Linked DNA regions of Canis lupus familiaris. The protein of the gene in region 1 interacts with the protein of each later gene in a pairwise test. Links are inferred from orthologs where the notes say so. Each region holds a gene or a part of one and is shown on either strand. Other genes may lie near its edges.

The links. The genes of interacting proteins can lie anywhere in the genome.
Region 2: the proteins of HSD17B14 (region 1) and SNAPC3 interact in binary tests that used the Homo sapiens proteins (3 or more experiments, as listed by UniProt). The two-hybrid records come from large-scale screens. The link is inferred for Canis lupus familiaris from reciprocal best matches to the Homo sapiens genes HSD17B14 and SNAPC3.
Region 3: the proteins of HSD17B14 (region 1) and DDIT3 interact in binary tests that used the Homo sapiens proteins (3 or more experiments, as listed by UniProt). The two-hybrid records come from large-scale screens. The link is inferred for Canis lupus familiaris from reciprocal best matches to the Homo sapiens genes HSD17B14 and DDIT3.

The regions. Positions count from the first base shown.
Region 1 is NC_049222.1:108,190,629-108,194,923, reverse strand, and holds the start of HSD17B14 (17-beta-hydroxysteroid dehydrogenase 14), read right to left. Parts: upstream 2,823-4,295; 5' UTR 2,791-2,822; intron 2,454-2,790; 5' UTR 2,342-2,453; coding exon 2,254-2,341; intron 1,741-2,253; coding exon 1,702-1,740; intron 1,542-1,701; coding exon 1,459-1,541; intron 990-1,458; coding exon 923-989; intron 1-922. Other genes in the region: PLEKHA4 (pleckstrin homology domain-containing family A member 4), read right to left, coding at 3,080-3,339, 3,660-3,772. UniProt on the Homo sapiens protein: Catalyzes the NAD(+)-dependent oxidation of L-fucose, yielding L-fucono-1,5-lactone, which rapidly converts spontaneously to L-fucone-1,4-lactone. Can also act on D-arabinose and L-galactose, with lower catalytic efficiency. Does not use NADPH.
Region 2 is NC_049232.1:35,760,285-35,764,307, forward strand, and holds the start of SNAPC3 (snRNA-activating protein complex subunit 3), read left to right. Parts: upstream 1-1,195; 5' UTR 1,196-1,267; coding exon 1,268-1,584; intron 1,585-2,329; coding exon 2,330-2,407; intron 2,408-4,023.
Region 3 is NC_049231.1:1,963,465-1,967,726, forward strand, and holds the start of DDIT3 (DNA damage-inducible transcript 3 protein), read right to left. Parts: upstream 2,829-4,262; 5' UTR 2,727-2,828; intron 2,048-2,726; exon of another isoform or gene 1,965-2,047; intron 1,869-1,964; exon of another isoform or gene 1,719-1,868; intron 1-1,718. UniProt on the Homo sapiens protein: Multifunctional transcription factor in endoplasmic reticulum (ER) stress response. Plays an essential role in the response to a wide variety of cell stresses and induces cell cycle arrest and apoptosis in response to ER stress.

The DNA.
Region 1 (4,295 bases):
AAGGATACAGAGAGAAAGGATGAACTGGTATTAGCCATCTCTTTGATCTTTACAACAATATAAGGAGGAAAATGCAGCCCAGAGAGGGTGAGCCACTTGCTTAAAGTTGCCCAGCCAATACGCAGCGGTGGAGGGGGTGGGAGGGTTGTGCAGCCTGGGTGGCTCAGCGGTTTAGCGCTGCCTTCAGCCCAGGGCGTGACCCGGGATGGAGTCCCCCATCAGGCTCCCTGCATGGAGCCTGCTTCTCCCTCTGCCTGTGTCTCTGCCTCTCCCTCTCTGTGTCTCTCATGAATAAATAAATAAAATCTTAAAAAAAGCCAACAATAAGCAGGGGGGCACGTTGTGCAGCTGAAGAGGATGTCACTCTTATGACAGGCCTTGCTGTGTGACCTCAGTGCAATCAGTTCATCTCTCTGAGCCCTGGCTTACCAACATGAGAGATTCTTATGAAGGGTAAGTCGTTAAACTGACAGCATTTCCCCTTCAAAGGGGACCTTGAAGAGGACCTAAAAAACCACACTCATGAGGATACCTTCATAGTCATCAGCAAAGGGAAGGGTCATTGCCATCACTTCATAGATAAGCAAATTGAGACCACAAGATGGGAGCTGTTTCTTCAAGATATTTGTGATAATTATGAGGCCGAGTAGTTTATCTTATTTAATACCCACAACAACTCTGTTGTTCATGATCATCATTCCCATTCTAGAAACAGAAGAACTGAGGCCAGGATGGAACCAGCCAGGATGTGAGCCCCAGTGCAGGGCCTTCCAGGGCTGTACTGTCCCATCCAAGGAGACAGGGGGATGGGAAAGGGGATGGAGAAGACAGATGGGGAACTGAGGGGGAGGGAAAGGAAGGGATGGAAGCGGGGAGGTGGGTGGACACCAAGGGAGAATGGCCTGTGGGCCACACAACTCACGGTAGCCAGCGTTGTTGACTACACAATCCAGACGGCCAAAACGACGGACAGTCTCAGAAATGAGAGTCTGAGGACAAAGAGGTAAGTGAGCAGGGCTGGCACCCAGCCTTGAGGATCCTGGACTCCCAAAAGCAAAGGGGAAAAAAAAAAAAAAAAGCAAAGGGGGAGGTGGATCACAGCCAAGGTGAAGGGAGCTACAGGAAGTGGGGGCTTCCCCTAAATCACCAGAGGGCTGGATATATTCACACTGCAGAGACCTGGTGTCCGGGTGGGGGGCAGAGGGTGGACATCAGAGAGACATTGACCGAAGTGAACGGATAGAATCCCAGAGGCGGGAGAGGAAGACTCTTCCAGAAGGAGATCCACTGTGAGGGATTTTTGTTGTTGTTGTTCCAGTCTATGTGACAGGTGTGACAAGAGCTCCATAGTGAGAGATAAAGGAGAAACTTTGCAGGAGACCCAGAACCTGGCCAGCAGAATCAGGGAAAGTCCGGAGCAGCAGTCTTTGGGGCCAGACAGGGTCAAGAATAGCTCACCTGCACATCTTTCTCCCGGGTCACATCACAGAGGATAAAGACAGTTCCAGTAAGCTCCTGCTCCAGGGCCCGGCCCCCAGACTCTGCAGGGAGAGAAGGGCTGGGGTCCAGACTCCTAGGTCTGAGGGAGGAGGGGCTGGGGTCCTGATTCTTGGGTCTGAGAGAGGAAAGGGCCTGGGGGCCCAGACTCCTGGGTGTGAGGGAGGAGGGGGCTGGGGTGAGGACCAAGGGACGCTCACTCACCATCTTTGTCACAGATAACCACTTGGGCCCCGTTTTGCACTGAGAATGGAAAAACAGGTTACTCCAGCACAGATCTTGGCAAAGGCCTCTGCTGCCCTCCTGTGGCCACCTGGAGTGGGGCCCATCTTTCCAAACGTTCCCCTCATGACCCCAAAGTCCCATGATGTTCCTCTAGAGCAAAGGGCAGAAGACTTGACCCATATTCTCCTTGGCCACTGTAGGTGCCTGCTGGGGTTCCTGAGCCCCCATCCCTGGGTTCCAGAATAAACCCGAAACCTGCAAGCCACATTCCCCCAGCCACCCCCACTTTGTAGATAGAATAACTGAGACCCAGAAAAAGAGAGTAACCATTTTTGGAGAACTGCCAAAAGCTCAGGCCCCAGGCTTAGGCTGTCAACCCTTTCATTAACATTGCAAATTGGGTTTTTATAGGCTAAGAATCTTGACTCCAGTACTGAAGTTCCCACACCCACTAGTTCCCAGGGTCCCTCCGCTCCCAATCTCTAATATTCCCCAAGTAGCCAGACCCTGACTCGCCAGACCCCTACTCACCGAAGGCTCTCGCGATCCCGGCTCCAATGCCGCGCCCGCCTCCTGTCACAACCACCACCTTCCCGGCATAGCGCGTCCCTGTTGCCATCCTGCTTCTGTCTGACTCTCCCTGTCACTCACTCTGCTTCTTTCCACCTCCACAGTCCAGTGAGGCCGTGGAGCAGAACCATAAATAGGGGCTGGATCCTGGAAGGCCGGCCCTGGGGGGGCGTTGCCAGGAAGGCCAGAAGCCTGGAAGTTTGCCCCCGCCCCCTCCTCCCTCAGACCCAGTTGTCTGGGGCCTCAGCTCCTCCTCCCTCAGACTCAGGAGCCCAGGCAACCAGCCCCTCCTCCGTCAGACCTAGGAGCCCAGGCCCCCAGCCCCTCTACTCTCAGACCCTCAGGCCCAGGAGTCCGGGTCCCCAGCCCCTCCACTCTCGGACCCAGGAGTCTGGGCCCCCAATCCCCTCCTTCCTCAAACTCAGGATTTATGGCATCCAACCCCCTCCTCCCTCAGACCCAGGAATCTAGGCCCTGCTTCTCCTTTTCCAGACCTACAGGTTTCAGACCGTCAGGACGCAGGAGGCCACGGCTCCAGCTCCGCCCTGAAGAGACCCCAGTGTCACAACCCCAAACAGACAGAAATTTATTGACTAAAAGTTCAAAGTTTTAATCCGAATTTGGACAAGTGTTGGGAAAACCAAACTTTGGCCCTGGAAACGTCTCCCACCCTAGGCCACCGCGGGGACCAGATCACGCCCCCCGGCGCCGAGAGCGGCTCCCGTCTCGGGGCGGTACCCCCGGGTCACGCCCCTCCCGCTCCGATTGGCTGCGGCGCTGGGGCGGGTCAGAAGCTGGACTGCAGCAGCGTGACTCGCAGAGGCCACGCCCCCTCCTCCTGGGTCAGGGCCGGGGGGGCGGTCCCGGATTCCCACGTGGGCTCCCAGGAGGCGGGGCCTGCGCCGCGCTCCCCACCTCCGCGGGAGAACCCGGCTGAGTGGGAATTAGCCACTGGAGATCTCGGGGGCGAGGTCCCCTGGGGGGTGGGGTCTGACGGAGGCGGCGGCGCAGGGGGAAGAGGGTCTCCTCGGGAGTCCAAGTTTCCACCTAGACAGCACGAGTGGGAAGTGAGAATGGCAAACTTGGGGACCCCTTTCCTCTCAGACCGAGGAGTCGAGCCCCCAGTCCCATCCTCCCTCAGACCCACAGGTCTGGCCCCACTCCCTTCCCCCGCCCCCCTGACCCAGGAGTCTTGAACCCCTGTCCCCTCCTGCCTGGGATCTGGAACTCCCAAGCCCTCTACGGCACTCTTCTCATCCAGACATAGGATTCCCAGCAGCTCTCACACTCCTCCGACCAGCAAGGACTCCAGGCTCTGGCTCCCTCTTCCCTAAAACCCAGGAGTCCAAGGTCCCCCAGCCCCTCACCTGTCATCAATCTGTGCCACTGCGACGCCTCAGTAGCCAGAGCATGAGAGAGGCTGAGGACTCGCTCCCGGTGACCTTCGGCTGTCGGCAAATAAGGGGTGGTGTTCCTGGGGCTAGAAAAAAAGAGAGAGGGATCCCTGGGTGGCTCAGCGGTTTAGCGCCTGCCTTTGCCCCAGGGCGTGATCCTGGAGTCCCGGGATCGAGTCCTGCATCGGGCTCCCTGCGTGGAGCCTGCTTCTCCCTCTGCTTAAGTCTCTGCCCCTCTCTCCCTCTGCTTAAGTCTCTGCCCCTCTATCTCTGTCTATCAAGAATAAATAAATAAATAAAATCTTAAAAAAAGAAAAAAAGAGATTTGGGGTCTTCTACAGTTAGCTAGTACCGCAGTGCCACGCGCGTCTTTCTGGGAGTTGTAGTCCCAAGCACGTGTCCCTAGAGGACCTTAAACACGGCGTGGCCTTCATAAACGTCCGTGTGCATTGTGGGATTTGTAGTCTATTCCCGACTAAAGTCCACCTGCTTTCCTGACGCAGGAGCAGAGTTTGCTATACCCCCAGTTCTGCAGTTTGGGGAGCTGCAGTTATCATGCGGACCTAGGGCTTTCTGATGCCCCAGGAATTCAAGAATCTCTAAAAGGTT
Region 2 (4,023 bases), on another chromosome or scaffold:
TAATAGCCAAAAAATAGAATCAACTTCTTGATGAACAAACAGAATATGGTATATCACACAATGTAATTTTATTCAGCCATAAAAGGAAATGAAGTAGGTACAAGCAAAGTATAGATAAACCCTGAAGACGTTATGCTAAATGAAAGAAGCTAATCACAAAAGACCAGATAAATCTAACACTTATACTAAATCGACTTGTAAATCTTAAATCTACAGAGACTAAGAGAAGCGGTTGGGTTAGGGCTGGAAGAGTTGAGAGGATTGGGGGCCATAGCTCAAAGGTAAGAAGTTTCTTTTTGGAGTGGTTGAGATATTCTCAAATTGGTTATGGTGATGGTTGCATAACTCTGTAAATACACTAGAAACCATTGAATGAGCACTTTAAATGGGTTAAATATATATGATGTATGAATAATATACCAATAAATAAATAAATAAATAAATAAATAAATAAATAAATAAATAAATAACCAAGGCTCCTTATATGTCCTGTTCCATCCTTTCGAGTCTCCGAGCCATGGGAAAAGCTCCGCCTGAAGCTAGACAGTTCCAATCCTGCTTCTATTTCCTTATAGTTAACTCCTTCCTCAGTGGTACCATGGGCATGACAATCCTTGCCCGGGAAGGTCATGATTTTTAAAAACACACATTAGGGTTAATACCGTACAGTATCTAATACGTAGTTGCCTCTCAATACACACTATTCTAAGCGTGTACAGCACAATGCATGCGTATAAACACAAGAAGATGCAGCTGTTGGGGAGACTTTCTAACGACCCGGATCTGGAGGGCCGGGCGTGCCCGCGGTCTCCGCCCTCGCAGCGCAGGTCGCTCCAGCTTTGGGACGGTGAGGCAGCAGCGCAGCGCACGAGCCCCGGAGGCAAAGAAAAGCCCCGCATCCCGGGCCGAGCAACCGCAACGAACGGGCTCGAAGGGCGCACAGAGGCCGCCCCGTCTGGCGGAGAGCGATGCCACGGGACGGTGGGGGACGGGAACGCGACACACGGTACCGGGAGACCGAGCTCAGCCGACCGCTCGCCGCAGCGCCGCGAGCGGAGAACAATGCGCTCAGCCCTTCGCGCGGAAGCTCGCGGTACCGCGCCCGGGGGCGTGCCCGGCCCGGGGCCTGCTGGGAAATGCAGTGTCTGAAAGCCGCGCCCACGCAGCCCCGCCGCTCTTCGGACCGAGCCCGGTGCAACTACAAGTCCCATCACGCTCCGCGGCCTCTTGCTCGCCCGGCTTTTGCAGGGAAAGGAGTGGGGCGAACATGGCTGAAGGCACCCGGGGCGGCAGAGCGTGCGGAGGAATGGGAGGCAGGCAGGACCCGGTCTCCAGCAGCGGGAGCTGCAACTTCCCAGAGTACGAGCTTCCCGAGCTAAACACGCGCGCTTTCCATGTGGGCGCCTTCGGGGAGCTGTGGCGTGGCCGGTTGCGCAGGGAAGGGGACTTGTCGCTGAAGGAGCCTCAGGAATCCGCGCTGCCTGGGAGCCACGGTGTCGCGGACTGGGGCCAGGAGGATGCTGCGGTGGCCCGGGATCTGGGCTGCAGCCTTGAGGCCGCGGCCGAGCTGCGGACGGTGTGCGGGTGAGTGCGGTGCGGAGGGCCTCTTGCTGCTGGGAGCCGGCCTGGATGCAGCCTTGCTCCTGCGCTCCCCTGGGACTCCCCCTCGGGAGGGCCTGTGCGCGGACTCCCGGAGGTGGAAGGACCGCCCTTCCGAGGCGTTCCGCCTGCTCCAGCTGTCCTGGAACCCCGGGAGGAGTCCGGTGATCGGAATGCACAACCTCTCAAGTGGGAGCGGAGGGACGGAAGAGCTGCCTACAAAGATTAATTTTTCTACCGGTTAATTGTTTAAGTGCTTGCTAATATATAGAAGGGCGATCAGAGTAACGGCGGTGTGTAGCTGCCATTGAAAAGACACTTTGACAATGGAGGAGCCTTCGTAATGCTGAGCCAGCCTGGGAGGAAATTTAACCAGGGGAGTGTTAAAACCTTTGATTAACCGTGGTTCCTAATGGGGACCTCCGGGTGTGCAGTTACTGAAAATATCCCCCCCAAGGGCCTTTTATAGGGTGAAAATATTAAAAAAAATATTAAAAAAAAAGCTTTAACGATCTATTTAATAGTATCGGCCGCCATACATCAATCGGCCGTGTATCCTCTTTGTAGATAGACTATCGGCACAGATATCATTGTCTGGAATTCTGGCCGCATCTGAACCCCGTCTGCTGGATTTCACCTGACTTAATTGTTTAATGATGTATTTAGGACACAACCCTGATCGTTGTGGACAAGATGGATGATTGTTTTTCCTTTTTTGTTTGTATTTCAGCGTTGATAAACTCAAGTGCCTTGAGGAGGGCGAGGATCCGGATGTCGTCCCGGAGAATACTGACCTAGTGACTTTGGGGTATGGAAGGACTTGACTTTTATTGTGTGGTACTTATTTAAGACATCTTTCAACGTTATGTTATTCACAAGAGTACTTATTGTTATCACCCCACCCCCTAAATCCAATCATTGTTAACATTTGGCTGAATTTGCTTTTGCTCTGTGTGAGATACCTGCTGCAAGTCTTTTTCTATTGCTGAACCATTCAGTAAGTTTCAGACCTAAATACGTCAGCATATAGCTCCCCTAAGTATTATTCTCTTACATAAGCAGAGTGGTATTATTGCACCTAAAGGAAATTAGCAGCAAATACATAACTTCTAATGTCCATTCTGTATTCAGATTTGTGTTTATTTTTATATATTTTGTTTATTTTTATTTTATTTTTTTGTGTGTGTTTATTTTTAAATGTGTGTTTACAAAGGTACAGTTGATCTACTTAGATTCCAGTGCAAGGTGAAAACTCTGATAGTTTTTCAGACTTTTGTTTTCAGTTTCTAATTTTTGACAGATCCATATTTTTGTAAAAGAGGATACTAGTTAATTACTGGGAAAATGGAATTAAAAGACAAACACAAAAGTCCTTTTTTTAAGAACAAAGGTTATTATTACTATTATCTTTTGAAGATTACAGAGATTTTATTTAAGATGACTTTTCCCCCCAAAACCCTGAGATCATGATCTGAGCCAAAATCAAGAGTTGGATGCTCAATGAACTGAGCCATCCAGGTGCCCCTTGAATTTGGGTTTATTGAAGTATAGTTAACATACAATGCTTCATTGGTTTCAGATGTACGGCGTAGCCATTTGGCAGCTCTATATGTTCTATGCTCACCACAAGTGTAGCAACCATCTGTTACCACACAGGCTAGTAATAATACTGATTACATTACCATTGACTTTATTCTCTATGCTGTCCCTCTATCCCTATGATTTATTTATTTCACAATTGGAAGCCTGTACCTGTTACTCTCCTTCACCCATTTTGTCCCCCTCCCCACTTTTCCTGGCAGCTGTCAGTTTGTTCTCTGTATTTGTTTGGCTTTTTATATTCCACTATCAGTGAAATTATATAGTATTTGTCTTTCTCTATTTGAATTGTTTCACTTAGCATAATACCCTCTAGGTCCATTCATGTTATTGCAAATGGCAAGCTGTCATTCTTTTTTATGGATGAGTAATATTCCATTATACACCTCTTTATCCATTGATCTATCCATGGACACTTGGGTTGCTTCCATATCCTAGCTATTTTAAGTAATGCCATAGTAAACATAGGGATGCATGTATCTTTTGGAAGCAGTGTTTTTTTCTTTGGGTGACTACCTAGTTGTGGAATTACTGGGTCATATGGTATTTATATTTTTATTTTTTTCAAGAGCCTTCATACTGTTTTCCACAGTGGCGCCACCAGGTAAATTCCTACCAATAGTGCATGAGGATTCCTTTTTCTCTACATCTCACCAACACTTGTTATTCTTTGTTTGTTTGTTTGTTTTTAAAGCTTTTATTTATTTATTCATGAGAAACACAGAGAGAGAGGAGAGAGGCAGAGACATAGGCAAAGGAAGAAGCAGGCTCCATGTAGGAAGCCTGATGTGGAACTCAATCCCGGGACCCCAGGATCATGCCCTG
Region 3 (4,262 bases), on another chromosome or scaffold:
TATTATTATTTTTTTTTATGATAGTCACAGAGAGAGAGAGAGAGAGGCAGAGACACAGGCAGAGGGAGAAGCAGGCTCCATGAACCGGGAGCCCTATGTGGGATTCGATCCCAGGTCTCCAGGATCGCGCCCTGGGCCAAAGGCAGGCGCCAAACCACTGCGCCACCCAGGGATCCCTGGAGTGAGCCTTTTAAAACTCTAGTCAGGTCCTGTCAGTCTGTTCAAAACTCTTCAAGGACTAAAGTTCATGAATATTAAAGGCTAAAGGTCCTTAATATGGCTTAGAAGGCCCCACACAATCTCCTTCCCTGCCCTGGATTTCTCATTGACCACTCTCCCTCTAGTCCGTCCAGCTGGCCTGCTCCCTAAACTCTGCACACTCCCACCTTAGGACCTCTGTTCTCACTGTTCTTTCTCCTGGAAAGCTCTTCCTTTCACAAATCTGCACAGCTTACTACTTTGCCTCTTTTCAGAAGTTTCATTTAAATGTCACCTCTGTGAGAGAATCTCTAATGACTCAAGGTAAACATCCTGGGCATTCACTACCCTTCCATGCTTTGGTTTTCTCCTTGGCACTTCTATATTTGTTCGCTGTGCACCTTTTCCCACGAAATGTAAGCTCTGTGAGAACAGGTCTTTTCCTTGTTCGTAGATGCATCCTGGGCCTAAAATGTGTGGCACATAGCAGGTGTGTAATAAGTAATTTGTGAAGAATGAAAGAATTCTCCCCAGTGTCTCATAGGGAAGGGAGGAGGAAGCCCAGAGGCAGAGCAGCAGCTGCCCAGCCCTGGGGACTGGAGATGCAATATCTCCCAGAGTGTTTCTCTTCAGGGCTGTCCTCCCTGGGGGACCCTCCTTGCCTTCCAGCGTGTGGGATGCCGCTTTCATCAGCAGTGGGGCCCCAGGCCAGAGGGCTGCAGAGCCAAACAGGGGGCTGGCCTGATGCAACGGTTACACAGAAATTAGCTGGGAGGCAGGACGCGGGGAAAGCAGCAGGGACAAATCCCTGCGGAAGGACCCTACACTGGGGAGACCCCAAATGGCTTCCCACACTTAAGGGATCCAGAATGCTCTCTTGTGCAGGAGGCCCCCGGGACCTCTGGGGGAATGGGAAAACCCATCTCTGCTCCCTAGCCATTGGCATCCCTCCTCCTCCCAAAGTCTGGAGTCTGTCTCCTTAAGGTTCTCTTCTCCGTTAGGGTGTGGAATGGCTGTCCTGTGCAGGACCCAGGAGCTCCATCCACCGACGTGGCCACTCTGGCCCTGAGACGCTGGGCTGAGACAGGATTGGGGGTGGGGTAGGGGCAGGGCCGCTGGTGGGAAAGTGGCGGCAAGGGCGTGAGCCAGAGCCATCCAGGCGTCTCGGCGTGGGGGAGTGTCCTGCCGCCCCGCCTCCCACCGGACAGGACCAAGGAGGCGGCCTAGGGCAGCAGCGGAAGACAGGGAGTCTCCCGAGGGCATCCGGACCCCTTAGCCCGACGGCCCAGAGCCGGGCCCGCGCTCCGGGCAGGGTGGGGCGCCGCTCCCGTCCGAGGGAAGAGAGGTCTGTAAGCACCACTCCCGGATAAAGGATGCTCCCCGTCCCTCCCTCGAACTGTCACTAACTTCGTCGGGGAACGGGTGGGGCCGCATCCTGAGCAGCTGATGCCCCAACTTCGAAGGGACAACCAGCATCCCCGAGGACTAGAGGGTAAAGAGCAGGTGGGATCGGTACTCGCCTCTCTCCTCAGGTTCCGGCTCTGACTGTGGCTCTGTGGCTGCCACCCGCTCATCTTCAACATGATCCGCTCTGTGCCTTACACTCAAGCCTCTGACCTCGGAGGCCCGAGCGCGGATGTTTTAAGGAGGCCCTGCCCTCCCCTCGGGGGCGGGCCCGCAAGCCTGCCAATCAGGGCGCGGCACGCCGGCGCTGGCCCCGCCCCGCCCCCCGCGCCCGCCACTCAGCAGCCCCCGCGGCGCCGCCCCCTTCGCTCCCGCCGGCCCGGGGGTAGAGGTGGTGTCGGACCCGGAAGTGGCTTTGGGTCACGAGGCTCCGCGGAGGAGGCGAGTGAGTCATGCGCGCGCGCGGAGGGGAGAGCTGGGGGGGAGGGGAGGAGGGGAGGAGAGGGGGGCGGGGATGATGCAATGTTTGGCAACCGGTGTCTCGGCGCGCACGCGCAGGGGCCGACGAGGGTGGTGGGCGGTGCGGGGGGGTGGGGGAGAGGAGAGGGCGGGGCGCCAGCGCCGGGCTCCCAACGGCCCCAACGGCTCCCAACCGTGGCCGCCCTCAGGCTGCCTGCGAAGCCGCGCTGCGGCTCGTCCTCCTCGGCGCCCTTATTCCGCCCACCTGGCGTTAGCCCCCGCCTCGCCGTCTGCATGGGGGGCTCCCATTTTGCTCGGTCCCCTCCTAGTTAGTGGGCGCGAGGTCTTCTAAGCCAATCTCTTTTGAAAGTTTGCATGCAGCCACAGGACCGCCTAACGTCTCCTCGAGTAGGCGCATAGAAAGATCCCGTTTAGCTCCCTAATTCCCCCAGAAGGGGCCGAGGAACTTGAGTACTTTTGATGGTCATTTTCAGCTCCTCGCCGAAAAGCACCCCTAACTTTTATCTTTGTGAAGTTTCTGATGAGCGCTCAGCATGCCAGGATTCAGGACTTGGCCCGGTGGACGCGATTCTCAGCCTCCCCCCCCCCCCCCCCCGTACTCTGGTGCCTCCACCAAGGATCAAGACCCGCCCTTTTCGCTGTACCAGCCGCGCAGGTCCTGTGACTCCTGCGTGAGGAGCCGTGCACCCGCCGCCTGCCGCCTCGGTGCTCGGGCGACCTTAGAGCCTCGTTGCCTGGGACGTTGGGTGCACTTGAGCGCGCAGCCGCCTTGCACCGGGTTGTCAGGAGCCCAGAGTCTGGCCTCACCTGCCCCTTTACTTGCCCCCTAATATCTGTGCCACAACCGTTCTTGTTTGTAAATAAAGGATGACGAGTTGTGAAGGTAAAACGAGAGCACTATGAACTTGGAGGCAGCTTAAACAAAAGTGAAAAGCATCGCTTAAAATGCAAACGTTTTTCTTGTGCCATTAGAGAGAAAAAAGATGCCATGTGGCGGCCGGTTGTATTCACTGTCATACCCTCACGGGGGCAGCCAGAGTTAAGTAGAATCTGTCACAAGGCCGGTTGTGGCTGCAAGGAGGTTTAGGTGGTGGTGTGACGGTGACAGGTCCTCGGCCGGGCCTGCTCCGTTGCTCCAGACCTCCATTTCCCCTTCAGTAGATGGGGGTGGGGGTGGGTTGGACCAGATGGTCTCTCCTGGCCCAAAGACATGACCAGGTTGTCAGTGACAGGCAGAGGTCATGTGACTTGACAGGCGGAGGTCCTGTTGTGACATGTTGACCTGGGGAGGCGGGTCAAGTCCCAGCACACTACCCGGGAAGCCTTTGGGGCGGGGCAGGGCAAGTCGCGACTTTCATCTTTTGGGGCCGGCCCCTCCCGGACCCGGCATTCCTGGCTCCCCCGACAGACTGTGGCTTTGGAAGGGGCCCCTCCCCGGGGAGGGCTGGGATTGGCCGCCGGTGGCCTGGGAAGAGGCTCAGATCCTTCCGCGGAGGGCGGGGGGGCCGCGTGGGGTGTTTGTTCTCTTGGGGATTAATGGGGGGTTGTGGGGGAGGGGTAGGCGCGCTCCCGCATGCGCACTGCGGCCCCTCCTGTTGGCTCGTCGTTGTCCGCTGGGCGGGGGCCCGGCCCCGCCCCTCTCCCGTCCGGGCAGCGGCGGCGGCGGCGGCGGCGGCGGCTGCGGCGGCGGCGGCGGCAGCGACGGCGGCGGCGGCGGCGGCAGCCTGCGCGGTGCCTTCTGGGAACGGAATCCCCAGGGCTGCCCCTGGCCCCCATGGCGCATGCGCGGGAGGCCGCTCGGTGATCCGCGGCGGCGGCGGCGGCGCTTCCTGCTAGGACCGGCCGGGGCCGTACCGGAGGCTCGGGCTCCGCCGACCCTCCTCCCACTCCCTCCCACTCACCCTCTGGGCCGCGACTGCGCAGGGCGGGGCCGGCCGAGCCATGGGCCGCGGTGAGTGCAGGGCCCGGCCCCCCCGCCCCTCCCCCTCCCCTCCCCTGCTGTCCCTACCCTCTGCCCCCCGCGTCCTCGGCCCCTTTCCCGGCCCCATCCCCGCCCCCCCGCCCTCACCTGCCCCCGCCGTCTCTCCCTCGCACTGCTTGACTTTTGCCTTCTTCACCTCCCTCCCTCAGTGCTTCGCCCACCCTCCGCCCGCCCTCTCCCCAAGTTCCTTCCTACTTCG